4 linked regions of the Coturnix japonica genome follow. The protein of the gene in region 4 interacts with the protein of the main gene of each other region in a biochemical or structural test. Links are inferred from orthologs where the notes say so. Each region holds a gene or a part of one and is shown on either strand. Other genes may lie near its edges.

Region 1 (7,741 bases), on a different chromosome or scaffold from region 4:
TCGGAAGCACTTCTTAAGCCTGCAGTATCGGCACTGGTTTCTTTTGTCTTTGTCTACCACACACTGCCTGTTAAACCTGGGGAGAAACAGAGGAGTGAGGAGCAGTGAGACTGAGCCTGCGAGAGGGGAGGGGGAGAGGGGAGGGGTAGAAGTGGGCTGAAGTCCCCACATCTCTCCAAGGCAGTGTTGGCTCCAGGAGGTTCTTGCTGACCTCTGGACAGCATCGCTGGCACACAAGCAGCTCTGAGCTGCCTGTGCTTCAGAGAGGAGATGGCAAGCACCCAGCTCCTTCCCTACCCACTTGTATCACCACATTGATTGCAGATGACGGTGCATTACACTGATCTCCCGTATGCAGCATAAGCCTGGTAGCCATTTGCAGCATGAATTTCACTTGCAAATATGCTCTGATTAGCTGCTGATTGATCAAGCTTGCAAAGACAAAGGCATACAGATCTATGAAAGGGCTCCCAGCCATGCAGAGTTCTGTAGCTCTGGGAAGGCCTGTTTGTAACACACTTTTGAAAGCCCCAAGCTAAGATTTGCTCAAATGGATGCCAGAAAGCAGATCTTTAAGCACTGTCATAAAAGATCTGGTGTCAGGAGAACTGGGAGCCTTGGCTTTTCCCACTAGAGCTGTGGGGAGGGGTCTTCTTGGACAGACAGCCTAAACAGCCCTGCCTTGCAAGCAGCCGTGTGCTTCACATGCACTAAGTCCAGAGCTTATCGCCAGAGGATGAGGTCAGGGAAGACACTGGAGGATACAGAGGAGATGAAGGGCCATGCTGCAGCACTCAGCTTTGCTGCACAGCTGCTGGGTGCTGTTTTGTTCCCCTCTGCCCTTACCTGCAGGAGTACATGTGGTTCTTCCTCACACTCCTCCTGAAGAAGCCTTTGCAGCCATCGCAGCTGGAAGCCCCATAGTGCTTCCCTGTGGCACGGTCCCCGCAGATGGCACACAGTGCGCTCACCCCAATGCTGTTGGAAGTGTTGAGGTTGGCTGCTTCTGATGGAGATGTGTCTGCTTGGGAAAGGACACAGCAAGAACACAGTGAGACAGACAGCTGACAACTCCTAACTCCTTTTCCAGCAAGTTACCAAAGAACTGGGCAGCTGCAGCAGGTCATAAGAAGTGGTGGGTGCTCCGGGTGTCCCAAGTCTTTGCATCTCGAATGTGCTAATGCTGCTGCTGCGCCAGGGTGAGCAGCTCTTCCCAAAGGCCCGACTCCAGCAATGCCTTCAGGATACACAGAAACCCGTTTGCAGCTGTCACAAAGCACAGCCAAAATTCCTGGGGGATTTGCAGATGCTTTGGGCCTCTGCAGTATGGCCAGAGAACGAGTTGGTGCAGTTTGAGCTGAGGTTTTACAGCTTGGGGTGAGCTGCTGGTTTGATAGCGAAGTGTTGGTGTTACTGCACTGAAAGAGGCTTCAAGAGGCTGTTAGTGCACAATAATTGCATATGGCTTCAGCTGGAGAACTCATGGACAAATACCCACCATGTGAGGAGGGACTGACTGGGACAACCCAGAAAGAAAGGACAGCACTATAACATGGCGAAGGCTGTATGCTGGGTACCTTCCAGAGTATGGGATGTGAGATGCACCCTGCAGTCCTTACAAGCTGTAAGGGGACTGGTATGTGTAGTGTGTTTTTGGGAGGGTGGGGAATTGCAGCAGCCTGTGTAGGAGAGAACACCTGAAAGGCTCAAAACCATACAAGCCCTAGACTAAAATCCCTCCGGCAAGCCAAACAAACCCCAAGGCTGAAGGGATCAGCTCACTATTCAGTTGATCTAATTGTCCCCTCCCAAGCACATTTTCTTGTATCAGCATGGGACTCAGAGGAAATCCCGTTTGCAAATGATACACCTAGGATCTACAAAGCCATAGAAACCTACTGAGACTTTAACACCGGAATATGTCAATCCTAACAGCCCTCTCAAAGGACAGCAGTGGAGATCAGCAGGCCAACAGAGGGTCAGAGGATGACAGAATAGCAAGGAGGACCTCTCAGGCACTGCTCGTGACCCAGCCTGCATCCCATAGCACAGAGGTGGGCATTGTACAACCAACAGGGCTCCCAGAGAACATTCACCTTGCATTTCTGAGGGCCTGGCAGTCACTTTGAGGGGTGAGCACTGACCTCCCCAAGGCTATGGGGAACAGCTCAGTGCTCCTCATCTCCCCTCTCACCTTCTCCTTCCCCACACCCCCATTGGGTTTGGCAGGGATGCAATTAACACTTACCCAGGAGGGCCGCATTTGCTCCCACCTGGCTCCCATCAGAGAGGGGCTGCAGAAGGATAAATGCTCTGAGAGGGCTGGTCCCAGGATATGGGGGGTGCCTTTGCTGACTGGGAACTGTGAGTTGTAGAGGGTTAAGGTAAGTACATCAGGTGTAGGGCTTCAACTTTAGTTTCTGCTTAGCAGGAAATGGGTTGAAGTGGGCTCTGCAGCAGGATGTACACAACCTCCTCATGCTGCCCCTTGATGTAGATGTGTGGGTACAAGTGACCTGGGGTGCCTGCTGTGATCCCAGCAGTGAGCTCATGCAGGGCATCTCCACCAGCTCTTTCAGCAGCTCTCACTTCCCTGCCTGCTTTCTTTCTAATTCCTCACATCTTTCCTCTATTGCTCTCCTGAGTCACAGTTTGCTCTCTCCAGGCCCGGCACACCCTGCTGTACTGCAGGGTTGAGGAGCTGTGTTCCTGTGCCAGCTCTGGAGGCTCCTTCCTCTGCTCCTCAGTGCCGGGCCCATGTGTCCCTCAGTCCTGCAGGGCAGAGCGAGCAGCTTTCCTCCCAGGTCCTTCCTCTGACTGCGTTCCAAGGGCTCAGCTGGGTGATGCTGGATGATGCTTCTTCCAGGAAGAATGTTAGGTTTTCAGTTCCATTGAAATGTGGAGCTTTGCAAGAGAGGAAAACAGAGCCAACCCATACCCAATCACTATGCTCATCTGTGATGGTTCACATAAATCTCCTCTAGCAGTGTGTGTATCATGCTGCAAACAGGTAAGGAAGTTACCAAAGAAATCTCACCCTCTTGATCTAAGAGCTGACCAGAAATAGAACAATTTCTTAATGGATAACTTTCCAGTTAAGCTTACTTTTATAATGCCAGAAACATGGACTTCTGGCTGCTGTGGTGAAGTGAGTTTAATGGCCATTCATTTGGAGTTATATTTAATTTGTGTGGTACCTGCCTCTTGCCAGGTGCTGGGCACATGCAGCACAGAGCCAATGCCCCATAACCCAGCTGGCTCATCTGCCCATAGGCTGTGGGATGTGACACTGTGCCTGGGCCAGTCCTGTAGGACCCCCAGATGTAGCAGAACCCAGCTCACAGCCCCTGTGCAGGGCAGGTCCCCTGGCTTCTCCCTGCTGGGAGTGGAGCTGTGCCTTGTCCCAAAGGTTCAGCTGCTCACTGGTGGGGCTAAGGAGTGGCTTTGGGGCATGTAGGGCCAGCCCTGGGCAGGGAGATGTGCAGCTTCAGTTTCATGGGGAGCAGAGTTTCATCCTGAGGAAAGCTGTGCTGCTGGCGCTGCACTGGATGGGCCACTATTGCAAATTCTAGCAGGTTCAGTGTGATCCCACCTTGCTGAGGGAGCCCATCTCCCCCTAACCAGGGCTGCTGTCTCCCTTCCAGCCGGGTCCCCCCCTTAGCCCTGCAGCACTGCAGGCCCCGTGCTCCCCCTGAACAGCAGCACTGCGGGGCCATGGCCTCAGAGCAGCCCTTGGGTGGCATTTTGGGATGATTTGCACCCTGGCCATGCACCAAGCAGCTTTCTGCTGTTGGGAAGATTCAGCTCCAGCTGCTCTTACAGAACAGGGCTGGCTTTCTGCTGAGCCACAGGTAGCAGTTTGTTGGCACTTCTTGGTTCTTTTATTCCTTTCTGTGGGAGCCCAGGACTGACAAGACCCCTCTGCCCTCAGCTCAGTCTGAAGGCTGCTGAGAACCACAAATCCCATTCCCGAGGCTCCAGGGCACCTCTCTGGCACCTCGCTTTCCCTCTGGGGGCAGCAGGATCCCCACCGTGCCCCCCACCCTCCTCAGTCCATTCAGTGACCACCCTGGGGATGCATCGTCCCGTCGCCACCGGAGGGGACTTACCGCTGCCCATGGCCAGCACCTGCATGTTCTCAAACTCCAGGGTGGTGTACGCCGGGTCCAGCGCTGCGCTATAATCGGCCATCTCCATGTCTATCAGGGCTTTGGAAAGGCGCATTATCATCGGCAAACACGGGCCAGATTGTGCCGATTCCCTTGTCCGAGGCTATTGGCCCTTCTGCCTCTCTGTGCCTTCACTGCGTCCCCTATCTGTTGTCTTTTATTTCAAATATTTCTCTGAAAGGATTTGCTGAGCCTCAAGACCTATACTCCTCAGAGGGGTGGAGGCAGGGGGTTAATCTTTAATCATCTCACCCACTGCTAACGCTGGGTGGCTGTAGCTGTTGACTTGGCTAACGCTGCTGCCTGGCTGTTGGCTTGGCTTTTTTTTTTTCTTTTTGGTGGAGCTGCAGTGATTCTTGTTGACTGTTTATGATTGCATCTCGAGGCGCTGTGCTGATCCCAGCTCCCAGGAACACACGGGGAGAAGCACTCACCACTCAGGGAACACCTTTGTGGGGCTGTTGACCTTGGTGCTGGGCTGCACCAGTGCTGGGAAGGCTGGAAAAATCCCTGCCTGGGAAACAAGGCTGTGCCCCACTCCTACCTCTGCGTTCCCCTCTTTGCCTTCACTCCTGATCCCTCCTTTCTCTCTCTCCCTCCCTCCCAAAGCATTTCCCTTCCTCTCCCTTTCCCTCCCAGGGAAGGTCAGCACCCACATTGCGATTTACACGTTGCTATGCAAAGTAACAACGTAGGACTCATTTTACTTCCCTATAAACCCAGTTTTACAGGGGCTGAATGCCCTATAAACAGGTCCCGCTCCTGAGCTGTGCCCAAACAACCTTTGGGGTGAGGGTTTGCCTGAGTGCCAGGCACGCAACAGAAGGGATAGTGAAGGGACGAGTGGGGCTGGTTGGGTGCGCTGGGCACAGCCAGGCTGCTCTGTCCTGGCAATGGGCTGCCTGCTGTCACACACACCCTGGCCTGGCTTTGGCCTCTTAAAAGTTTCATTGGGTGTTTTATGGTGCAGCAGGGCTTGACTCTGCAGCATGATTTTTCCTTCTATGAATTCAGCCAAGCAGAGCTCTCCGCTGCATCACGCCTGCTGGCATCACCAAGGTGTTGTGTCAGGACCCCACTGAGTAGCAGGGCTCCTGCTTCCCCCCTGCCCACCCCAGGAACTCTCTGGGCCCCCTGCTTTTCCTCTGCAGGGCTGACAAGTTTCAGTGCAATTTGCACCACATGACAATGCAAGATTTAATTGATTACCCAACGGCGTCGTCTGGATGGCACGGGAAAACAAGCAATTAATGATTCAGCATCAGCTCGCTCTGCATTGAAAACATCCCCTTGATTTCACAATCAGCACCAGGTGACCGAGTCCACACGCTGCCAATTTGGGCTCCAAACTTGCTTGTGTTTGTGCTTCTCAGTGCACCAGCACAGCCCTGACTCCCCAACCCCTCCTAGCCACAGTGTGGCCCTGAGGTCCGTGGCCCCACAGTGAAACGTGCTGTTGGTGCAGTGATTTGCTGATCACGTTTAGGAGCACTGAGGATTATTCAGGCAGTCCTCGCCTCCCATCATGTACCGCTTCCAGGGAGTGCTTTTACCTTACAGCCAAGGAGCAAAACAGAGAGCAAGGAAAAGCTCCTGATATCTTAATTGGGGTTGGCAGTAAGTGATCATCTTCTGCTGGGAAAATAGCACCTCTATTCTCATGCAGTCAGTGGTTCTCCCCTGTAGCAGCAACAGCCCTGAGCCAAAATTGCAGTAACGATGTGCACCAGGGTGGAGGTGGTGAGACAGAGCACAGCCCCGAGGTGGCCTCATCCCAGGGACCTCCGTCCCAGCCCTGCTTGGGCCACAGTGATCCCTTTGATTAGATAAATGCTACAGACACTTGGTCAAATATGTGCAGGATTTGCCACAGTGTCTAGTAAAATACCATAAAAGCATGGCCCGTTTTGCTCCATTCAGCAAAACAACCCTTTTGCTTCAATAGCCTGCTGACAAAATAAGGCCATTTGCTCCTAAGGGTGGGAAGGGTTAAGAGAGCCAGGAACAGAAGACGGAGAGGCACTGTGTGCAGGAGAGGCAGATAAGGAGCGGGGAAGTTTGGGGAGCATTAGTGGCTCACGAGGCAGGGATGCAGAGTTTTCCATCTGTGGGTTTATGTGGGCTATTATTTTCTTGCTACTGGTGCCCCCTCACAAAACCCTTGTCTCAGCACTGGGGTGAAGGACACTACGCACTTCCTTTGCCCTGGGGATGGGCTCATGGCACAGAGACCCTGCCTGGAAACTGAGCTGCTGGATGTCTCTGTCCCACATCCCCACATGGTGGCTTTTGGGGTCAGCTTGCCAATGTCACCGCACCCTATAGTAGTTAATAGGATCACGATGTGCCGCAGATGCTTTGGGATAGAGATGTTTTCTGTATCCTCCAGCTATGCCAGGAGGTGGCTGCAGAGGAGCCATTACAGCCCCAGGGCGTGCAGCCTTCTGTGCTAAGTGAATATTTGATTTTTATCAGCTGAGCGATAAATCCTTCTGTCTTTTTCCACTATAGCACCTCATGACACAAATTCCACTTTATATCTTTGGCAAACTAATCCAAAGCGAAAGGGAATTCCCTGAAAATAAGACCTGTACTTATCAGTAGATGAGGATCGGGAATAGAATATTTAATGTGGTGTTTATGGTAAGGATACCATTGGGTATACCGTGCTTGCTAGCTCCTGGTCTGAGGTGGGTGAGCCTCTCACAGGGCTCCTCCACAATTGAGTGCTGTGTGACCAAAGGACAATTCAGGTTAAAGGGGACCTCAGGAGTCTCTACCCAACATCCTGTACCACACAGGGCCTGCTGAGAGCAGCACGGGCTGCTCAAGGCTTCATCCCATTGGATCTTGAGCATCCCTAGTGCAGGAAAGCTGTGAAGAAGGCCAGGGCTTTGCAGGCAGCCCTTTGAGCCGTTCCAACAAGGAAGCAGGTAGGGAAGCGCGGAGCTGAGGAAGCAGAGAAGGAATGACAGTCCCAGCAGAACGTCAGCAGCACACTCAGCCCCACGCATGCAAAGGTCCCTTCTGCTTTTTTTTTTTTTTTTTTTAAACAACTCCCCTTTGAAATTTCAAATTCCAGTTTGTGGACAAAGTCCTGCCTATCTGACAATATAGATCTCCGACCACTGACCAAACTCCACTCCAAGCAGTCCCAAGGGCTGCGTTCCTTCCCCTTCCCCACACGTGTCTCTGCTCTGCCAGGATCTCCCCACCATTTCTGCCCCACAGCAGTGCACTCCAATGTGCTGGACGTGGATTTTGTGCCTTTCAGCCCTCACTTCAGCATCTTCCTTCCTGAAGGTGGAATGGGAACGGCCGTCTGTAGCGACCAGGTAGGAGTTATATCACTTATCACCTGCAACCCGTTTGGGCAGCCATAGAAAATGCGAAGGTGAAACAAGGGCTTCCGTTGTGCTTATACCAGCAATTTTAGCTCATCCTTTAAATTAGAGAAGGGAAAGGTAGGCAGCTTCAGAAGGAGGACACTCTTGGAGGCAGAACCGCTCTGTATGGTTAACTGATAACTCCAGTTTGCCTCTTCCCTCTCATCTTTTCCGATTCTCCTGATT
Region 2 (6,668 bases), on a different chromosome or scaffold from region 4:
TGTAAGGGACCAATAAAGAACCATATAAATAAATCTTTAGCAAGATAATACCTGTGGGAGAATATATCAGTCCCTGAACTAATCTGCAAACACAGTTTGGCAGATGTTTTTTTGGCAACTTCTTGAGCATTAGATGATGTAACTCTGTAATGCTGTCCATATCATAGCATATTGTATGCCTGTGCAGGGAAAAAGAAATAGAAATTCCTTTTAGCAGAAAAGCTCAATTTTGTATTTTTTGTCCCTTCCACTCCACACAGCAATTGCATGTTGTTTTTTGTTTAATTTTTTAACCTATTGCCCTATTGTGATACTTTTTTTAGTATTACATTATTTATATGTTTTATTGTTCCTTAGTTTCTTTTAAACAGGCACTTGTTTTGATGCATTTTTAAAGACAATGTATTTTCAAAAACTAATTCTATGTCTTGTCTGCTGTTTTTTGTTTTGTTTTGTTTTTTTCCTGCACCACTGCCTCTCTGAACTTCTCATTTTCTTCAACAAATGCAACAGGAAAGAATTCGCAACCATAAATATCGGAGTCTTGGGGATCTGGAGAAGGATGTCATGTTGCTGTGTCATAATGCTCAGACATTCAATCTGGAGGGATCACAGGTCTGACCGAACTAATAATTGCACATACAGGTTTTCCCTTCCTAATGCTTTCAGTTCTTAATTGGTGATTATATTGTGCCTATAAATGCTGTGTTTTAATTCGTATTTTAAATAGAGGAAATTGACAGATTCTTGGAATTATCCAAAGTTCTCTGGTCACGGCTGAAGTGGGAGCATGCAGACAATTTGGTTTTGAGTCCAGTTCTAAGATCAGCTTGTTTTGATCTGTGTGTAGTTCCCAGCTGTTGTAAGACCATTTGAATCTCTGCTGGGTGCCTGTTCATGTAGAGTGATACATGGGTTTAGGCTACCAGATTGGATGGCAGAAGGAGCAGGTATAATAGTACAACTTTATTCCAGAGGCAGAGGAAGTGCTTAGTAGTGAACTCTTCAGGTCTTCTAGTACAAGATAGAAATTCAAGGTCCAGATGTGCAGTTTGTGTATGAGTTTATATAATATTCTCTTAACCTTTGGGCTGATCTTTCTTTCTATATCCATCTTGAAAGTTAGTAATTCCAGTTGAGCCTCAGAGGTTTGCAAAGCAAAATTCTAACCTCAAATGTTTTAAAGATACGATTGTGTTCAGTCCTGTAAATTAGGAACAGAGGATACTGATGCAAAATGAGAGACTACAAAATCTGGATAACAGATGAGAAAATTGTCACGTGATGTAGTGAAATGTAGCATAAGATGCATATTTTTACAGTGGAGCCTAAATTGTGGGATACGAATACAGTATGAAATTGAAGTAAAGGACATGAAAACCACATCAATAATGTGAAAAAGAAAAATAAAAATTCCCTTCAAGAAGCCTAGGTAAATTTAGCTGGAGGTTTCATGTTGCCAGGATTAATGCATCATCTGAATAACTATACGTTATTGATAACGCTTTGCTAAACAGGTGAGTTTATATGAAAAATTGAGACATAAGAATGAAATTGAGCATGCAATTAGATAAAGGATTGATGAATACAATTGTTTGTTTTGTGTTTATTTTTCTTATATAGAGACAGAAAATGCTTTCTGTTATACGTATGTGTGATATTTTTACTGTGTTATGTGGAAGCAGCCTATAAAAATATCTGTTAAAATTATTTTAATAAAAATAATGACAAATCGAATTGTGAAACAGAACCTTTACTAAATGTCCAGAAGTAAATTACCAGTTTACTGCTAAGTCAAGTAGCTGTGAATTAAATAAAAAACAAACTAAAAAACAACAACAAACACAAGAAAAACCCACCCAGAAAGTACCATTAAAATTGTTTAAGGGAGAGAATGACAGTAGTTTAAAAGGGATAAGTAAAAAGTAGTAGATATGTGAAAAAAACAGTTATGCTGATGGGAATGAGTTGCTAATCCAGACTGGAGGTGATAGATAATCCACTGGAGGTGATAGATTTGATAGGAACACTCTTGGATGGGTATAAACATTCAAGATTTTGTTACCCTGTTTGGAAATAGGTTAACCAGCTTCAGAGTTCTTTTCCGTGCTAGCAGACAAATTTAACTACCAGAGTTGGTATTGCCTTTTATTGTATAAAGGCCAAAAAACCAGTATCTAGGTTTTGTTTGTTGTTGTTTATTCGTTTTGTTTGTTCAAGTTTTTATGTTGTATTCTCCTAACTTTTTGTTTCCAGTGAATTGTGGGACATTTTTCCACTTGTCCTCCAGTTTTCAAGCTTCCCTTACATTTGTGATAGTTCAGTTCTATCCTTGCTGTGACGTACCAGTTTACTTGAATAAACCGGATTATTGTGTGCACACCCAAAACAAAACGGCTACTTTGAGCAGAGCTGTTCAGATACAAAGCAGCATCAAGTGAAATTCTGCATGTTCTTTTTATTAGTGTTGATACATTTTTCTTGTGGCCAAGGAATTCCATTCGAGCCAGAACCTGATGAGNGACAGACAGACTTCTTTTTGAGACTTCTGTGCTCAGTTTCACAAAGTTTTTAATGTTGTAATGGTCAAATGAAAAACAGACATGTAAGAAGTGCATGTCTTTTGGAAGAGAACATTTTTTTTGTTTAAGAGTTTGCAGAATTTTAAGTTTCTTTGTTACTGTTTTTTTCCTGTTTTGAAGGAAATTTTGCTGCTATTGCTGGTTTTTTTTTTGTTTGTTTGTTTTTTTTAATGATTCTTGTTGGAATCAAATTATTTATTAAAGTAAGAAAACTTTTTATTTGCCTCGCTTTTCTGAATGCAGCCGTAAGTCTTTTCTGAGTCATAATAACCAGTGAGTATCTACAAAGAACTCCGTATTTAGAAAGATGCCATTTTTAAAAATCCCTTTATTTCTCTACGAAATTCTGTTAAAAGGTCCAGATCACAGTGAGATCTTAAGTATGTATTGACTGGAGTTCAAAATACAATGTTGTACTCTTCTTTAATTATTGTTATCTTAAAAATGTGTTTTCTCTGAGGAAAGACTGGCAGGTTATTGAGGGGCAACCCTAAGAATAATGTGATATGCTAGGCCTATGGGAACAAAAAAGAAAAACTAGGGGTCTTCTAGGGATAGGAAGCTTTAAAAATGTTAGGTGTAAAAGAATATTGGTGATGATTACCCTTCAAGGAAAAAAAAACAAAACAAAACTCTGGGATCTAAAATCCCATTAGAGGCACAATACAAAAGGGAAAAAAGCCACTTCAAAACAGTTGTAATGGTTATGTATCTTGGGTGTTGAGAAACACTTGTACCCTATTTATGAGCCATCTTGACATCTCTTAACAAAAGCCACTGGAGTACATATGGAGTTGGGAACAGGGAACTAGCTGCATTGAAAGGCACTTTTTCTGAAAGGTACTTGAAAATAAACTGAAAGAAAAGTTTGTGTATTTCATATGAAGTGTTCTGAACCAAGTTTTTCTAATTCTTTTTACTGAACCTGCGAAGTGTGAGAGTGGTTTTATCAGTTTTTTGTGTATAGCTTGTGTAATGACAGCCAAAAATCTTCCCATTATTTTTCTCACATATGGACAGTGTTACTTTACACAAGAAAATATTTTGTTTAACTGAAGGAGTAAGTGAGGATGGTGAGGAAATCACATACAGTTCATGAGCCTTTACTGTTACATATATAATTGTTCTTAATTATCCAGTGCTTTGTCTTCTTACCAAGAGAAGCAGACCGTCTCCTTTGTTAAGATGTTTGTGAAGTCTCAGTTGGGGAGACTATGATATCTCTGTTACGTTAATCTGAGAAGTGCATTAAAAGCCAGATGTGGTCTCATATATGGATGCTTGACGTTGAAAATCTGATGTGACAAAAGCTCTCAGCAAGTTAGCCCATGTTCAAGATAAGGTGTTAAGCTTTGGATAGGCACTGATTTTTCAGTCCTTTTAGATCTGCAGGGAAGGATGGGATGCTTGGGATAAATTAATTTTCAAGCAGCTGTTTTGGGCTTCTGGAAAAACAAATGATAATTAACATAATCCACTTTTGTAATTGAAGAGCTTACTGCTGAAGGTTGTCATGTTGGGAGGTTTTCAACACATAAAATGTAATGAAGACATGGAAGAGCCCTTGTGCTATTAGAAAGGGTAAAGAAAAACATTCTTGATTGGACTTTTAAACATATTTTAAGACTTCTATTTTTGTGAAAAATTTATTTATCTTTATTGACAATTTCTTTTTTTTATTCAGGACATTAATATTTTATGTTTATATTTCTTGTAAAGCATGCAGTGTTACTTGTAATTTGAAAAGGCTGTATATTCTGTAGGCTTCCAGCAGAAATGAAGGTCTGCAGTATGAATTTTTTCATGTTGCTTGATTTTACAGCTCTAACATAGGTTTGTATTTGCATTGTAGATCTATGAGGATTCTATCGTTCTTCAGTCCGTGTTCAAAAGTGCACGACAGAAGATTGCCAAAGAAGAGGAAAGTGAGGATGAGAGCAATGATGATGAAGATGATGATGAAGAAGAGGAGTCAGAGTCAGAATGTGAGTCCCCTCTAAATAAAGAAAATGTGGGGAGTAATTAAATGTTCTGGTTTCTGCTGTTAGATTGAGTTTTCCATAAAGGTATGTAACTTTTCACAAAGTTTACTGCATTCACCTTACGTCTTTGTTTTCTATTTCTTCTGGCTGTATTTCTTCATAGTAAGCTATTTTCAAACAATAGAAACAAACAACAGAAGAGCTACATGAAAACAGGTTTGACTGGCCATGACTGTTGATAAACCCTTTTTGTTCTATTCATATAATTTGTAAATAAAAGTAGTAGAAGGTTTAAATACAGTTTTGATCCACGAGTGATCAGCCTTTCAGGCATGATGCAGCATGAAAATCATCACCTGGTAAAGACAATGGTGCAAGTATTCTTCAGAGGGACAAGGACAATGTGAAACTTGGATTGTTTCAGAAGCAGGAGGTGACACCCATTCTTCAGAGGGCCAAGTTATGGGATAGGACAAGGCTGGACATAATGTCCTGCAGGTATTCAGGGTGTGATGTAGGAAAAGCTGGAGCATGTATTCTAAGAAGGAGAATGTTGAAACATTGTACTAGTATGTTCTCTCCCTTGGTGAAATTATTTGTCTTTTCCAGTTTGAAATTTAATGTGGTGCCTATATACTGTTCCACCGATTAATTAATGTATTAAAAGTGTCCTAGTATATTGACAGTCACAGGTGGAGCAAGGATTTCCCATACAAAAGATCTATCTCCATACAGCCTTTCAGTTCTCCTTGCTGATTTGTATTTCTTTGGTAGAAAAAGAAAAAGGTGATTTTTATTCCAGATCTGCCAGTCATCTCCTTTATTGTTTCTCATCTCATTTATTGTTTCTGTAATTTAAAATGACACAGTTGTTTGCTTGTACAAAGGATAAACTTGTCTATATACAAGTAAGAAAGTATTTTTATGTTTGCATCTTCCCACAAAACCAGATACTACCTGCTGAACATGAAAAAGAAGAGGTGTAACAGTCAAGTTATACTCCATAGCTTAATACAAGTTATTGCTACAGTAGTCAAGAAGTAGAGAAGTAAAAGCAAGTATCTCTGGTTAATTGTTCAATGGTCCGGGAAAAAAACAGGGAGAGCATCTTCTTCTGCTACCAGGCGAAAATTTCTAAAAACAGAGACAGCACTTAAAAGTTGATAGGTGATTTTCAGTAGTTTATTTTATTCACAGTCATGTATACTTTTACACTTTCTGCAGCAAAATCTGTGAAAGTCAAAATCAAGCTGAATAAGAAGGATGAAAAAACTCGGGAGAAAGGAAAAGGCAAGAAGAGGCAAAGCCGAGCAAAAGCCAAACCTGTTGTGAGTGATGATGATAGTGATGAGGATCAAGATGAAAATGTAAGTTTTGTTGACTGAGACTGTGGAAGTGGTTACAGTGATTGCGTCTCTGCCCTGTCCTACTCGCTGTCAGAATTCTCACCTATTCATGCTTAAGCACATATTTAATCTGTATTCATCATCTTGAGAGAATTTGGCAAGGGTGTTAACTGTGTCTGGGTTTGTTTAGGAGATCTGGTCCCAGTGCTGAAAGACAAGAAGTCTTAATAGTTTGGGAAGTTTAGAGCTTATTTCTTAAAGCTGTCCCTACCTTCCTAGAACCTTTAAGTCTTGTGGTTTGTTTGCTTTCATCCCCAAACGAAAAATTCTTAGCTTGATTTTTTTTTTTTTTTTTTTTTGGTAGTTGCTTCTATAAATGTAGCAAATGAAAAAAGAACCCTTCCCAGTTGTTTTTAAACACCTGGATAGATAGAAATACTTGATGTTTCCTTACTTGGTGTCTTTTCTTCTCTAAAGAAGCCTGCAGCAACTGCATTAAATGTCTTGAAAGAGAAATACTAGATAACTACATTTCTTAAGGCTACTTTGATTTGTCGATTTAATTGTCATCTTCCTTCCCTTTTCTTACTTTTTTCTTCTTTAACAAATTCCACAGAATAGCTGGCAAAGAATTTCTCACTTGTCTTGTGTCTCTTACCTCTAGGACCAGTCGGAAGCAAGCGGAAGTGATGATGAGTGATCCATAGGGTTTATTTTCTTGGCAGAACTGACCCCTTCCCCTTCTCTTCTCCCTTCTC
Region 3 (6,963 bases), on a different chromosome or scaffold from region 4:
TTCTTAGTAGCCAAAAGGTGAGGATAACAAGGTGAGATGTTTGGGATCTGCATGTGTGTGGGTTAGAGGACCGTGCATGAGGAACATTAGATGGATGGCCCTGTTAATGCACAGAGCACCTACATGTGCATAATGACGTCTGCCTCGCTGCTGCTCCCACCAGTAGCTGTCACTAAAAATGTCTGCTGGTAACAGCCTGGCCTTTATGGAAATAGAGCAATTCTCTTTTCAAGAGAAGAACTGAAAACTTCATGTGCAGGTAAAAGTGGGCTTTTGTGCTGGTTTATAATAAAGGTGCTCACTGTAATTATTGTGACTAATTACTGCTCACACTGAAGCCACCAGTACAGCTCTGAAATAGTGAATGATACTGTAAGCAGAGCTTTTTGTTCCTGAAATATGCCTGCTGATTAAGAAGTATTGTCCTGGGCTTTTTGACCTCCTTTAGGCATTGACAATAAGGGAAAAACAATTTGCCGAACCAATTGTGTGTGTGGATACGTACAGCTCAAATGGGAAGGCTTTCTTTTTTTAAGGCTATATGCTGTAATCAGATGTGGTTAATTTTTGCACTCTGCTTGTATATTGATACTGATTTAGCTAGTGTCAGCGCTGTCAATATCATTAGCAACGTGGCAGGTAGATGGAAATATGAATGTGATTGCATTAATTAATTCTTAATATATTCAACCTTCCATAAGCACACAGCATATAATTTGCTCGCTATTGTTTAAGGCCACTTTGAAACAGGGCTGGGTTTTGAAGTGCTCCATTGGTGTCCTTTTCTACCAGCAGAAACTGGCTTCAGGTCTCACTCAAAGACAGAAGTCGGGAAGTGAATTTAGCGAGGATGTGAGGAGTTGTACTACATAGTGCATATTACTAGCAGTTTGCAGCACTCTGTGCAGTTTGTCCTGCGTGCAAATGTGGAATGATTCAGGAGCCCATCAGCTGCTTTCTCTGCAGTTCCTCAAAGTTTACCTGAGCATTCCTGGTTGTTTGAAAACTTCCTTGGAGCTGCTGTAGCTTTGACTTAAAATATAGTAAAGGAAAAAAACAACCCCACCAAGGCTTTAAAATAAATACTGCACGTTTTTATATGACACATGTTATTTCTATTCATAAACCTTAACTAAATTTAGATTTTTATTAATCCAATGTGACCTAAAAATTTTGCATTAACAGCACAATGTGGAATTGGGCTTATTCTCTTTGAATGCAGATAAAGCCATCATCTTGAAAATAGCTCTTTCTGACAAAAAGGTGTTCTTTTGAAATAAAGTCTTATTCACTACATTCCTCTTAGAGTTAATGTGAATTTTAGTGCCTCTAATTTTAGATTGAAGTGAGGTTTAGAATAAAATCCACCGGCTGACAATTGAATTTATAGATAGTTGTGAATATTTCAGGCTTGAATAATAGAGCTGTAGAATTTCAGACAGAGAGAGGAAGGGAGAATTAAGCTCCGACTGTAGTTTTAGACTATAATGTGGTGGTGTCTAGGAATTCTTCAGGGTAACGAGCTAAGTAGTAATTAGGAGGAGCGGAGGGAGGGGTTGTAGCCTAGGCAGTGCTCCAGGCTCTGGGTTGGTGGTACAGTGGTGGCCCCAGCTGCCATCCACACAGGGCCTCTTCGGCCATGCTGTGGCAGCAGCAGAGCAGGGTGATGGATGCCAGTGCTACCCAAGGGTGCACAGCCCTTCCCCTGGTTTCCTGCTCTAGGACAGAGAAATTTTCTCTCCTTCAGAACTTGGCTGGTGTTTTCTGCTTCCCGTGGAATGGTTAACATTTTATGGGCCTTACCTTGTCATCCTGCATCAGGCCGGCCCATGCTACGGAAGCTGCAGCTTGAAGCAGCCATATCTTGATCAGCACCAGAAAGCACAGCTCTGGGAGCATCATCAGGCAGGCTTTAGCCTGCACAGAGCTTCTAGTGTGTGTTCCTGCTCGCAAAACTGTGACCGCAGTTCGGTTCTGACTGCTTCAAGTGGAGACAGCCACTTTCACACCGGCTAAAACCAATACATTTGGACAACTAATTAATTGCAAATGGCTTTTCTGGGAAGCGGAGGGTGACTCTCAAGCTTATTATTGCACAAATAAGAGAAAAAGCAGAAGGAGGTTTAGAGAGACAAGAACGTGCCATCAAACTGGGCACAGGAGTCAGTATGCAGAAGGTTTCTTGCTTTATTCTGAGACTTGTCCTGTGGGCTTTTAACAAGAGGGGTAAGAGAAGATCACCTGGTACCTGTTTATTGGTTGAAAAGGACCTCACTGTCAGTGTAAAGAGAAACAATGTAAAAATAAGTTGTTGGAACGTGAATGTTAATTGAGAATTTTAATCATGGCTGTATAAAATTGTGTCAAAGAAAGAGGAGAGAGAGACAGTGCGACACCGTGTTTTAGTACCCTAATAACTTCTAACTCCAGTCTAAGATCGTAATGTATGTGAGAGCGGTCCAGTAATTATAAGGTAATAAGTGGAGTGGTGGTGTAAGTGCTCTAAATTAAAAGGAATTTGCAGAGCTGCTGTAAGTCAGCGCCGACCCGCTTTCTTTCAAACGTTGACTTGAGAAAAGTGCTTAGCCTGGAGTGCAAGTAGAGAGACAAGAGAGAGCTATCTATTAATTACAGCACTCATTAACAGTGACGGCTACAAGGCAGCAGATGCAGAAGAAAAGGCACACGGTACTGCAGGCTGGCAAGGGGATTTCCCCCCCCCTTCCAGTTCTTGAGGAAAGGACAACACAAGCAGGTGGTCCAGTGTAATAAGATATTTCCACAGCTTTAACCTTCCCATTTCCTTGGCTTATTTGCTGACATCAGGTAGCACATTCCTTCCACCTTCCCAAATAAGTATGGATTTTAAGTTTGGGGGTGAGATTTCTGCACATCAATCTGGCCGCTATCCAAATTCACATCTAGCTTATTTTCAGTAGTATGTTCCAGTAAAATTTACAATGATTGAGAGATCCTGAATAATTCTGATGGGCACTGATTTTTATCATTAATCTTATCCTAAGCAAATACTTAGTGAGGAATGGTCAGGCTTTGATCTTGATTACACCCATTGGAAAATATGACAAGTCTCTGGATTGATGTCTGTTTTCCACTGGTTTCCATTTGATTCTGGAGCTTGAGGTAAAAAATCATATATTTAGTACATACACATTGAATACGTACGCATTTATATTGAATATGCAAAAAGTTGAGTGAGTGATGTCGAAATCTCAAAGCTGACTTGAGAAAGTTACTCTGTCAGATTGTCTGCACTCAAGCACTTGAATCATGAATCTATACCTCCAGGTGGGTGGCCTTACGGAGTAGTTGCATTTCTGCTGAAAATGATTCTAGAGAAATGCTCATAACTGTCATCTGTACTTGGCAGCTTCAGATGCTACTGTCAGGAAAATGCTGGGTAAGCCATTTGCAACTGCAGTCTCATAATCACAGCTGTAGAAAATGAAGATGATATCTGATTCATAGAGCTTTCAGATTATTATTTTTGTTCTTTGTTCTTTCTAAAATGCATTTAAAAATAATATCAACCTTGGGCACAGAATGCGCAAGATTTTTTTTTCCCCCTTTAGAAAGTGATAATTTATTGGCTCAAATGTTTTATGATTTTGTTTCAGATGCTTAATTCTGAAAAGGTGAGAACTGAGATAGAATCTCACCTTCTGAAAGACAAAACTTCTATCTAAAATTTCCTCTAATATATTTCTTTAATCCAAGAATGGAACACGTAAAATGTCAGATCCTATAGAGCTGCAGATATATGGGATGCTGGCGTAGTTATTACTGGTTAGTCTGTGGATAATGGCTAGAAAGTAATTGCAGCCAGAGCTGATTAATCATTTCACTTAGATTTTCTGAAAATGGAGTCCAGCCTTAATTACTTGTTAGAGTCCCCAGTTGATGTGCTACTCGGTTACTAAATAGCTATATATATAATAAAGCAATATTAATAAAGAAAAAAAAAAGCTTGTGGGAGACATGCTCTTCAATTCTGAGATGAATTCAATGGATGATGGCTACATGTTTTATTCAAGTGTGTTGACAAATATTAATCACAGAGTTAAACGTGTGTGCTTAAACTTGAAAGTACGTGTCCCTGGTAATTGTGGAATTTACAGAACAAAAATAACTGGTGAAAAAATAAATGTAAAATTTCAGTAATCTAGTGGGACTTAGGAGTGTTTTGACTCCCTGGATGACAGGTTCAGAGTTTAGAGCCGATCTGAAGTTGACATGTAACCTAGAGGGCAGTTGGAGGGGACAACAGACGGGTTTGGTCTCTTAAAGTTTTTGTTTACTGCCTGTCTGGAGCTTTGACAAAGCTCTGTCGTGCCCTTATGCTGATTACCTTCATGTAGAACAAGAGGTATTGACTAATGAATGAATGATGTGCAGTCCCTAACCCTTCCAGAGCAGACCAAGCGAGCACTGTCTTTAATACAGAGATTCCTTTCTCTCTCTCCCTGCTCCAGGCTTCTCTGCAGAATGTCAAGCAAAGATCGACACATTGATTCTAGCTGTTCGTCGTACATCAAGACGGAGCCGTCGAGCCCTGCTTCTCTGACGGACAGCATCAACCACCACAGCCCCGGTGGCTCCTCAGACGCCAGCGGGAGCTACAGTTCCACCATGAATGGACATCAGAATGGGCTGGACTCACCTCCCCTCTACCCTTCAGCCACGGGGCTTGGGGGCAACGGGCCCGTCAGGAAACGGTACGATGACTGCTCCAGTACCATTGCTGAAGATTCACAGACCAAATGTGAATATATGCTGAACTCGATGCCCAAAAGACTGTGTTTGGTGTGTGGTGACATTGCATCAGGGTACCACTATGGAGTGGCTTCCTGCGAGGCCTGCAAGGCTTTCTTCAAGAGGACAATTCAAGGTTGGTGATGCTTTAGACATCTTTTCCTACTTCTGTTCAAAGTGAAGCAGTACAGTCCTTGATTAAATGATGGTACAACTTCAGGCCATAGCTTCTGATTCTTCATAGCATTTGGTCCTACAGATGATACTTGTGAAAAAGCCCCTTTGGGCTTTGCTGTAAGCTCTGTCATGTTAAACTCATTGTTATGTTTATTTTGCTTATCAAAAATAGTAGAGCCATCCAGTGCATATTTAGTTCTTCTTCTCTGAAAGAGTTCCTTGTGGATTCTCATCAATGCTGCCATGCAAAGTGATTATTTTTCTTAAGGTTGTTATGTATACCTCTTGAACACACCTTGCGGCATGCACAAGTTATGCTTGGGTTTTGCTCCTAGCTATATGACTACCATACATAAATCCCTACAAAAATCCTGTATATCTTTATCAAAGCACTAGAGCGTTTAAGAATGGAACAAAATGTAATGCTGTAGTGTTTTGTTAGTGTCAGACTATTAATAAAGTGGCCTTTCACCCGTACAATGTACCATGGCCTTAACTGGTTCACCAAATGGTCTATAAGATCACATTTTAAGGACACAAAGTTGACAGCTTTTGGTCTCTGCCAAGTACCTTGTGTTAATCTGCTCTTGATACCTGTTACAAATATGCCACATATTTTGGCATAAATTAGTTTGAATGGAATAATTTGCACAACCACTTTTTCTAGCTACAGGACCTATGGAGACAAAATAACCTTCTACTTTTATTTAGATATCATCCTTTCAAGTAAAATTGAAGGTGCTTTATTTAAAGAACATGAGGACAGGCTTGGCCTGTACAGGAATATAGTGTCACATTAAATTAAATTCAAACTTCAGAGACTAAAATTAGGCTGCTAAGTCCAAATTTAAGCTCCTCAATAAAACCTCCTTGATTTTCATAGTTGCTGAGCACCTGGAATCCTCAGGAAAGGCACTGCAACCTGGTGGTATGCTTTGCTTTTTAAAACTGAGTTGTAGTAAGGAGAGTCAGGTTAGTTCCAATTTGCAATTTCACGTGGCTCTAAAATTGAAACATTTGATCAAAAATTTTTTTAGATATACTGCCTCCACATTTCATTTACAGTTAATAAACAAAAATAATGTTTCATTTTAAATTTAGCCATTACTAAGGTTTGTTTATTTATTTATTTTTAATTGATCATTTTACTCTCCACAACTAATAGTTGTAAGCATGCTGCTTACTCTGTAAGCATACCACTACTCTGGGGGATTTGGACCTTTTACCAGCATGAATCAGCCATTTCACGATGCCCATACTACCACCAGAAAGAACGAGCAGAGCTCTGTGGTTATAATGGAGCTGATTTTTATGAAGTTTGCGATCAGGAAATAAACATACATTCAGAAATTTCTGGTTACTTGGGTTCAAAAAAGCGTTGTTTGTTTGTTTTAACAAAAGCTGATTTGGTTTGACCTTCAAGAACATTTTTAGGAAAGCTGCTAAATTTCCAATGACAACTTCAGCTTGCAACTTTGATTTTATAAATGGCATTTAATTGCTGCGTAATAGCTATTCTACAGGACTGAATTAGTGCATGATGATTTTAGTTGTATTTTGAGCATCAGAAAATGCATCAAAATCTCTAACTGAATAAAGCATTGACTTCTGGCTGTAATATATAGCCTGCAATTGTACACCACGCCACAGACAGCAAGTTTCTGGGCATGGAAGCACAAGACAGAGACGTCATTCTCCAGATTAGCAACCTGGACTTGGCCACACAGCTCAAGTTAGAACTGGCAGCTGCGCAAAACATCTCAGCAGGGTTAGAGCACTAGCTGCATCAGCAGGTGATGGTGCTGTGAAGACCAAAAAAAAAAGAGCAGTGAGGCAAAGCCTGGCACTGAATGGAAAAGCAGTAACAAAGATACTAAGAATAGGAGGTATGTTACCATCGTAATGTCATGGTAGCTTCTTCCGAAATGATGCTGACTCAACTGATGCAGGCTTAAGAGTTTTCAGATACCATCCGAAAGAATGGAAACTACATATTTTTGGTGAATTAAGCCATCA
Region 4 (7,656 bases):
TACCACATTTTAACACTGTTTTCAGACAAACTGACTTTGCAATACAATTGAAAGGTTAAAAATCAGCTCTAAGAGTTACATCGACTCTCTCAGCTTTGCAGCTCAATGTCTGACCTCAGGCAGCACCACAAAACTCCACTTACGTCATCCGAGTGCGACTCCTCTTCCTCCTTTTCCTGCCCCACCTCATCTTCCTCAGCACCGGCTGCATCAGTCACCTCAGGTCTTGCCACAGGCCCCTGGTCCTCAGTGATCTCATCCCCTGTAGCGGTGTAAACTCTTTCTTCTTCTATAACCGTCTCAGTGTTCTGGTATTCAAAAGGCACGTTGCCGTACCTCCGCGATGAGCCCGTCTTTGGGAAATCCAGCTGTAATTTCTTGATGATCCTGGGGGGCAGCCTGCAGGCACGGATCAGCTCCAGAAACACTTTCAGAGGGGTGCCCACGTTCCCAAAAGGCATAAAGGAAGGAGGGTTGAACTCAGGCAGACGCTTTAAATCCGCTTCAGAGACGGTTTCACCCTCAGCCTTCGTGTCTGCTCCATTGGGAGACATCTCTGTGCCTGCAAGAGGGAAGGAGTGATCTGGGGAGGGACCTACAGCAGAGAGGGGTAAATTGAGCTCTCCTGGGGAGGTCTGGGTAGAGGAACAGCCCCCACACTGACTCTGCTTGCCCCATGTTGGAAATATCCTCAATAATTTTTGGTCAGGACGGTATCTCTGATAAAAGCAGTTTCTATTCGTGATTGCAATGGCGGGCGCCCTGATGGCAGCAGCGCCCCTATGGACATGATGTTACAGTTTTGATACCTTTTCTCCCATATGTTTTCCCCTCCCCTCTCCCCTTTGGTTGGGTATTCCAGGTTACAATGTTACCCGAGGTTTGCATTTGTTAATTACATTCTGAAATTTGTTAGTTCACTTGCTATCTTGTCAGTCGCCGTCCTGCTGGTTCTGTTTCCAAGATGTCTCGGTATCTTATCCTATTGATATGTTGATTCCCTTCAAAGCTTCTTCCATTCTGTCCTAGAGGCCTTTGTTAAACAAAGAGCCGGGGTGGGGGTTGTTGCTAGTTTACACAGGCATATTGTTAATTATTTTAACTTCTCCTCTTTGGATCCTTTATTACTCAGGTCTTATTTGTCCAGCATCAAAAACCAGTAGTTCTATTTCAGACAGCTGGACAGCCAGGAGCTGCAATCATTGTACCTAATAACTACAAATCGCTTCACTTTATATAACGAGACCTTGAAATAAAACATTCTTATTCTAAATGCAGAAACAACATTTGATTCCCACACCCAGAACAGATACAAGGTGTTAAGGAAACTTCATTAAGGGGTAAAGGCTTTATCAAAGGGGGGGGTCCAGTCCTACCTGTCCCGGGGCTGAGCCGGACCCTGCGGACCAGGCAGCGGCCGGGCAACGAGGCCCCGCCGGGCCCGACCCATCGCCGGCCCGAATACATGCGGATAAAGCGCCGGGCCCGGCCGGGCCGAACGGCAACCGGGCAGCAGCACCGAGAGGGAGATGAGGCCTGATCATCACATCCCGTAGGAGGGAGATCGGGGCGGTGGCGGTAGTGGAAGCAAAGGAAACCGCCGGCTTCTAGGAATTGGCTGAAGTAGGAGCGGAGATGGGCGGAGCGCAGCGCGGCCGGGATGCCGCTGATCAGGCAATACCGGGCAGCGGCGCCGCCATTAGGGAGCTCACAGCTCAGCGCCGCCATCTTGTCCACCCAGCCGTGCGTCACAAGGGATGGGCGCGCGGTGATGACGTCACAACCGTCTTGAGGTGGGGAGGATGGCGCCGCCTCGTGGCTGGGAGGGGAACTGCAGTTATGGGGTCAGCTGGGGGGGACCTCATAGATCCCCATAGAGACCCTATAAACCCCATAGAGACCCTATAAACCCCATAGAGACCCTATAACCCCATAGAGACCCTATAGATCAGGTTGCCCATGGCCCCGTCCAACCTGGTCTTGCACACCTCCAAGGACGGGGCAATCTGTCCCCAACGAGCAGCTGGAGCAGCAGTGCTATGGGGTATGGGGGCAATGGGGGCTGCTCGCTGTGCTGGGGATCCTGCCTGCTGCTGGGTCACTGTGCCAGCAGTGTGTGGTGTGCCCAGCACACAGTGACTCACACACATGTCACCGTGCTGAGCAGCTCGTGGCTGGCGTGGGCCTGCAGGGATCATGGGGTGACTCACACCAACCCACCTTCCCTTTGGAGAAGGGCTGTCAGGCTGAGATCCCCTTGGAAGCGACCTGCTGTGTGTTGGCACGGATGGGCAGCACACAGTTCTCCCAGCAGGCTGCTGTTCAAACACGGTGTGTTTATGGTGGTGGGGAGCCAGGAGGCTTTGTATGGCTGTTCTCCTGTGGGCTGAGGGCTGTGTGTGCACATCCAGGTGAGTCAGCACCAACCTCCTGCATCAGCACCTCCAGGTGTGGCTGTGTGCGTGAAGGAAGGTGCAGCACAGACAGGCTGCAGTTGTGCTGCCTCTGCAGGTTTCAGTGCACAGAGCAGTGTGTGCCCAGCACAGCTCATGGGGCTGCATTGCAATGCTCCCCTATGATTCCCTATGATGCTCCATCCCTGCATTCAGGTGTCCTTCCCACACTGTACCTCCAACAGCTATTTCTACAAGTCCAAAATGCCAGAAATATAACAAAAAATCACCAAAATGTGACACGTTTTTATTAAAAAAATAATTTACTGCATCTTATGTACAAATCAAATGAAGGTCCGCTCATTAAATACTGACATCAGTGACAAAAGCTGCAGGCAGGAGAAGCGAGCTTTCCTACTATGTTGAACCAGCTGGAACTCAAGGCAGGGATGTTTGTTCAGTGTCTGTAGCTCAGTGTGTTCCTGAGCCATTCCAAGTATTGCCATATATATATTGAGGTGTATAGGGAGGATGAAGTGGTGTTCATGCAGCGTTATTTGCCGTACGTTTCACTGCTCTTAGGTAATCCAATCTGTGAGCAATCCTGTTGCAGCTCATGGCATCGTGGGGAGGAGATGCGATGTGATGAGAGGCAGGAGGCGTTCATGAAGCTGGCTGCACGCCCTGTAAGATCTGATGCTTCTCCCTCCTGCTGTCTGAGGAGGATTCTTGGTGGCTGTCTGTGAGATTTCATGCACAGCAGACACTGGCTGATACTTAAAGATCTAATTCCTTACGGCTTGCACCTGGTTGTACTCTACAAGTGATACCACCGAAGATACTCAGCACCCCTAAATACCACTATCAGCACAGAGCCATCACGGGCAGCAAGTTGAGGTCCAACCTCATCTCATGGAGTTAACAAAACACACATTGATTTTAATTGAACTGAGGATTCACTGAGATATAAAAAGCCTGGAGCAGGCTCTAACTCAGTCTGCTCTGTGTCACAGGGCTGGCCTGCTTGCTAGAAACTCAGTACCACCAGCCACACACACTCACATTCCTCAAAACAGACTGGCAGAGGTGGAGCAGCCATGCTGAATCAAGGCTGCTTTCCTTTATGCTCTGAGCCCTACAGCCTAGAGAGAGGCACACGCAAAGCCCTGTGGAGCTGAGTGCCTGACTGCCTGCTCCACAGTCCTCCCTGCTGCCCTGCCAGGTGTTGTTGAGCACCCCCAGGGCTGTGGCAGAGCACAGCAGCTCACAGAGCCACGCGTGGTGAAGGAGCCGGCTGCCAGCTGGTGATTTCATACAGCATATCCACGATGAGCTCGACAATGTCTGCGTTGCCAATGATGGGTCGGAAGAAGAGGTCTGTGATGAGGGCAGGAGGGATGGATTTCAAGGTGGAGGTGATGAGTAAAATGAGGGTAAAGCGGTCCTGGTCCTTGGGGTGTAGGATCTGCACAACTTCCTGAAGCGCTCGCTCGGCTTCCCGCTGGAGGCTCTCGATGTACAGGGAGGCTGTCAGCCCTGGGACATCTGCCAAGAGAAAGGAGGGAAGGATGTGAAGAGGAAGGCTGGAAAACAGCTCGAGGTTTCTCCCATCTCTCTCCCCGTATCTTGGAGAAAAACCTCAGAGCCATTAACAACATGTATTTCAGGGCTGTTGCTTTGAGGGAGTAAATACAGCTAATGAAGCAAACATGGGCTTTGTAGAGTAAGACCCAGGGTTCTTTGATTGCAAGGTAAGGAGGTCTCTGCTTTTAAACACTACATTTTCAGTATCCCTCCTCCCTGCTTCCCAGAGGTAAACTGCATTGCTGGTGCTAATGATGTGAGCAGCTCTCCCTGCTCTCACACACACTTTTGCCCAAACTCTGAGCGACTCCAAGCCAAGAGCAGTGTTTTTAAATGCTAACTCATGCAGGGCTTTCTCTTGCCACCAGCAGGCAGAGCTGGGAGGGTTGAACACTCACCAGGATTAAAGAGAATGGCTCCCTTCAGGTAGGCGTATTCTTTGGGGCTCAAGTCCAGGCTCCAGAAGGTGTTGAGGCTGCACTGCAGCCACTGCACAGCGGCCAGCATGGGCTGAGTCCACTCAGGCTCCTGCCTTTTGCTTTGGCCATCGAGGAGGATCTTCTCAAGCATGCTGGGGGCTGGGGTCTCCATCACCTCAAATGTCACCGTCTCCTGGACCAGCCCCAGGAGGAAGAGGGGGACCCAGCAGCTGTCCAGCAGCAGGAGCTGGTCCCCTCGAGGCAGCAGGTGGAAGGAAGGGAGGTTTTTCATGAAGCTGATGGTTTTCACCAACACGTCGGATGCAGCTTGGCAGGTGATATGGGGTGTCCGGAGGCAGACCGTCCAGCGCTGGTGGCACAGGCAGCGTTGGTGAGGTGGGCTGTGGCTCAGGTTCTGGCTGAGGAGGGTGTAGAGAATGGCTGGGTGTTTGTCTTCATGCTGGCACTGACACCTCTCGCAGTCCATGTCTATGCTGCTGGTCATCAGAGCAGAACTGGGAGCCCCGGATCCTCTGTGAAACTCCGCAGATGGGAGAGACCTGTAAGTTTCCTCCCCGTCTCAATCTGGGAGTGACCTGTCCTCCCAGCTCTGCCAGCACATGGCTGTTCAAACAAGCTCTTATAAGGCTCGGTCACAAGTGGAACACCCCTTCCCAGCCTTGACCGCTCCGTGATTAAGCGGTCCTCATTAAAGAAGAAAAAAAACAACAAAAAAAAAAAGCCACCAACCCCAGCTGTCCCCAGACTGATTGGCTGGAACCAGCAGGATCTCAGCATGGCGTCAATGGCCGTTTTCTCAATGAAACCCCAGCAGGGGCAGCGGGTTGGGCAGCCTTATCACAATTACCCAAACAGTATAAACAAAGTCATTAACCCGGGCTGTACCATGGCACCAAGGCCCCACGCTGCAATCAGGTTGTGCTATCTGGCAGCTGTCGCTGCCAAGGAGTTCACACACACACACACATACACACACACACATACACACACAGGGTGTTCGTCTGAAGCGAGGACCCCATGGCAAATGGCCTTGGAAAGAGCAACCTGGAAGTCATTTTATCAGCAGCTGTTTGCCTAACCTTGTTGACAGGAGATCGGTGTTGTTGCAGTTAAGGAAGGTGGTGAACTGAAAGACTAAACCTAAAGGCAGCAGCCCATTGTGCTGAAGGAGTAATGCTGGGTAGGTGAGAGGCAGGTTTATAGGTTTTTACCTTGAATTGCTCTGGAATTTGTATGTTTTGATCAGCATTAGTTAAATGACAGCACACAATTATGGATTCCAGTGGGGCCTGTGAGGAATTCCTCACACAGGGGGTGCCTGGTGAACCCTGTGAGGATGGGAACAAGTGATTTGGCAGGACACGGGGAAATGGTTTTAAGTTAAAAGAGGGAAGATTTAGGTTGGATGTTAGGGGGAAGTTCTTCACTAGGAGAGTGGTTAGGCCCTGGAACAGGCTGCACAGGGAGGTTGTGGATGCCCCGTCCTTGGAGGTGTTCAAGGCCAGGTTGGACGGGGCCCTGGGCAACCTGATCTATGGGGTCTCTATGGGGTCTCTATGGGGTCTATGGGGTCTATGGGGTCTCTATGGGAATCTATGGGGTCTATGGGGTCTCTATGGGGTCTATGGGGTCTATGGGGTCTCTATGGGGATCTATGGGGTCTCCTGGGCAACCTGATCTAGTAAATGTGTATGTTTTATGGCCCTGCCAGGCAGGGGGTTGGAGCTACATGATCCTTGAGGTCCCTTCCAACCCGGGTCATTCTGTGATTGATTCTGTGATTTAAGGGCACGCAGCTCTTGGTGCACAAATGGGATGGAACTGATGGCCACACTGATGGCTTTTCACCAAAAAAACACCCATCTACCTGCATTTGTCGGCCAACACAAGTCAGCCTGGGGAAGCGGCAGCACCTGCTGATTGATTTAATGGAGCAATAGGAACCCTATGGGGATAAGGACCACTCACTCTAATGCACACAGCTCTCAGTGCAATGGAGTGAACCCAGCAATGAGGCCTACAGCAGCCACAGGGACCAGCATAGCCTGTCCATACTGCAGATTACAGGCTCTTTGTGCTGCTTAGGCCTGGATTAGAGGCTCTTTGAACTGTGTGGTGTCTGTGGAGGAGATACAGGTAAAGCCAAGGGTAAAGTACCCGGATGTAGGCGACCCCATGGAGCCTTCTGGAAAGGCCTAGGCCCAGGCCCAGCCGTCTCCATAGCAACCGAGCCCCGCTCCACTCTTCCCGCCTCTCCATCCCGCCTACGGCCTCGACCAATCCGCGAAGGCATCGGTGCAGACGAGCGCTGCGATTGGCTGTTGATTTCGGTACCTCCCTTTCCGCTTCCGCCCAGCTCGCTTCCGGTTCCGGTGAGCGGTAACGTGAGGGCTGTGAGGAGACCGGTGAGCGGAGAGGATGGGGCTGAGCGCGGAGGAAGCGGCGGAGCAGGAGGATCGTTTCGATGGCATCCTCCTGGCCATGGCCCAGCAGCACCAAGGCGGCGTGTGCGAGGTAACACCGCCGCTCCCGGGGCGGATAAAGCCCGTTTGTGCTGCCGGTGGTTATTGGGTGGGGGAGGAGGAGCGGGCGGGCCTAGGAGGAGGGGGGGCAGCACGTGACTTCCGGCCCCGCCATATTGGAGGCGGTGGGGCCTCCATGGGGCTGATATGGGGGGCGTGTAATGGGGCTGTTAATGGGATGCAATAGGAGTTTGGTCCTTTGTAAATCAAATGGGACACAGAGGTGGGTCTGAATAGCAGCTGGGGGTGCCCACATAGGTACAAGTCCAGTGTGATCTGTGAATATCATACCTACACTCTGTTAATGTAGATCACATAGATGCCTCCCCTGTAGAACTGATCCAGGAGGTGGATTTTCAAGCAAGCCAATGGGAAACAGAGTGTTTCATGATGATCCTGATCATAATATGTGCCAGCATATATGGATGTGATCCCCTCTGATCTCAGAGGCACAGATAGGAAGAACAGAATAAATGCTGTTCATTAGACACGAGGTGCCTTGGAATGATCTGGTCTCATTGCTCTGTTTTTTTCCCTGTTCCCTCTACCAGCTTGTGAACACATTCTTTAGCTTCCTGAGACGTAAAACAGATTTCTTCACCGGTGGAGAAGATGGTGTAGCAGAGAAGGTAACAAACCACCACCCGCCAGTTGTGATGTCTTTTGATTTGTGTGTCAGCCATGTTTGTGCCTTGCTAAGCCTTCACAGAATCACAG

What was found.
Region 1: the proteins of NR0B2 (region 4) and HNF4A form a complex in vitro, tested with the Homo sapiens proteins (4 studies listed by BioGRID). The link is inferred for Coturnix japonica from reciprocal best matches to the Homo sapiens genes NR0B2 and HNF4A.
Region 2: the proteins of NR0B2 (region 4) and SMARCA2 form a complex in vitro, tested with the Homo sapiens proteins (2 studies listed by BioGRID). The link is inferred for Coturnix japonica from reciprocal best matches to the Homo sapiens genes NR0B2 and SMARCA2.
Region 3: the proteins of NR0B2 (region 4) and ESRRG form a complex in vitro, tested with the Homo sapiens proteins (2 studies listed by BioGRID). The link is inferred for Coturnix japonica from reciprocal best matches to the Homo sapiens genes NR0B2 and ESRRG.

Annotation. Positions count from the first base shown.
Region 1 is NC_029535.1:4,772,213-4,779,953, forward strand, and holds the start of HNF4A (hepatocyte nuclear factor 4-alpha), read right to left. Parts: upstream 4,369-7,741; 5' UTR 4,231-4,368; coding exon 4,110-4,230; intron 1,025-4,109; coding exon 847-1,024; intron 77-846; coding exon 1-76. UniProt on the Homo sapiens protein: Transcriptional regulator which controls the expression of hepatic genes during the transition of endodermal cells to hepatic progenitor cells, facilitating the recruitment of RNA pol II to the promoters of target genes. Activates the transcription of CYP2C38.
Region 2 is NC_029547.1:24,040,124-24,046,791, forward strand, and holds part of SMARCA2 (probable global transcription activator SNF2L2), read left to right. Parts: intron 1-513; coding exon 514-615; intron 616-4,434; coding exon 4,435-4,567; intron 4,568-5,788; coding exon 5,789-5,931; coding exon of another isoform or gene 5,932-5,949; exon of another isoform or gene 5,950-6,568; intron 6,569-6,574; coding exon 6,575-6,610; 3' UTR 6,611-6,668. UniProt on the Homo sapiens protein: ATPase involved in transcriptional activation and repression of select genes by chromatin remodeling (alteration of DNA-nucleosome topology).
Region 3 is NC_029518.1:17,711,153-17,718,115, forward strand, and holds part of ESRRG (estrogen-related receptor gamma), read left to right. Parts: intron 1-4,490; coding exon 4,491-4,906; intron 4,907-6,963. UniProt on the Homo sapiens protein: Orphan receptor that acts as a transcription activator in the absence of bound ligand. Binds specifically to an estrogen response element and activates reporter genes controlled by estrogen response elements.
Region 4 is NC_029538.1:1,619,680-1,627,335, forward strand, and holds NR0B2 (nuclear receptor subfamily 0 group B member 2), read right to left. Parts: upstream 5,082-7,656; 5' UTR 4,902-5,081; coding exon 4,376-4,901; intron 3,939-4,375; coding exon 3,658-3,938; 3' UTR 2,680-3,657; downstream 1-2,679. Other genes in the region: GPATCH3 (G patch domain-containing protein 3), read right to left, coding at 144-562, 1,377-1,728; nuclear migration protein nudC, read left to right, coding at 6,836-6,931, 7,491-7,568. UniProt on the Homo sapiens protein: Transcriptional regulator that acts as a negative regulator of receptor-dependent signaling pathways. Specifically inhibits transactivation of the nuclear receptor with which it interacts.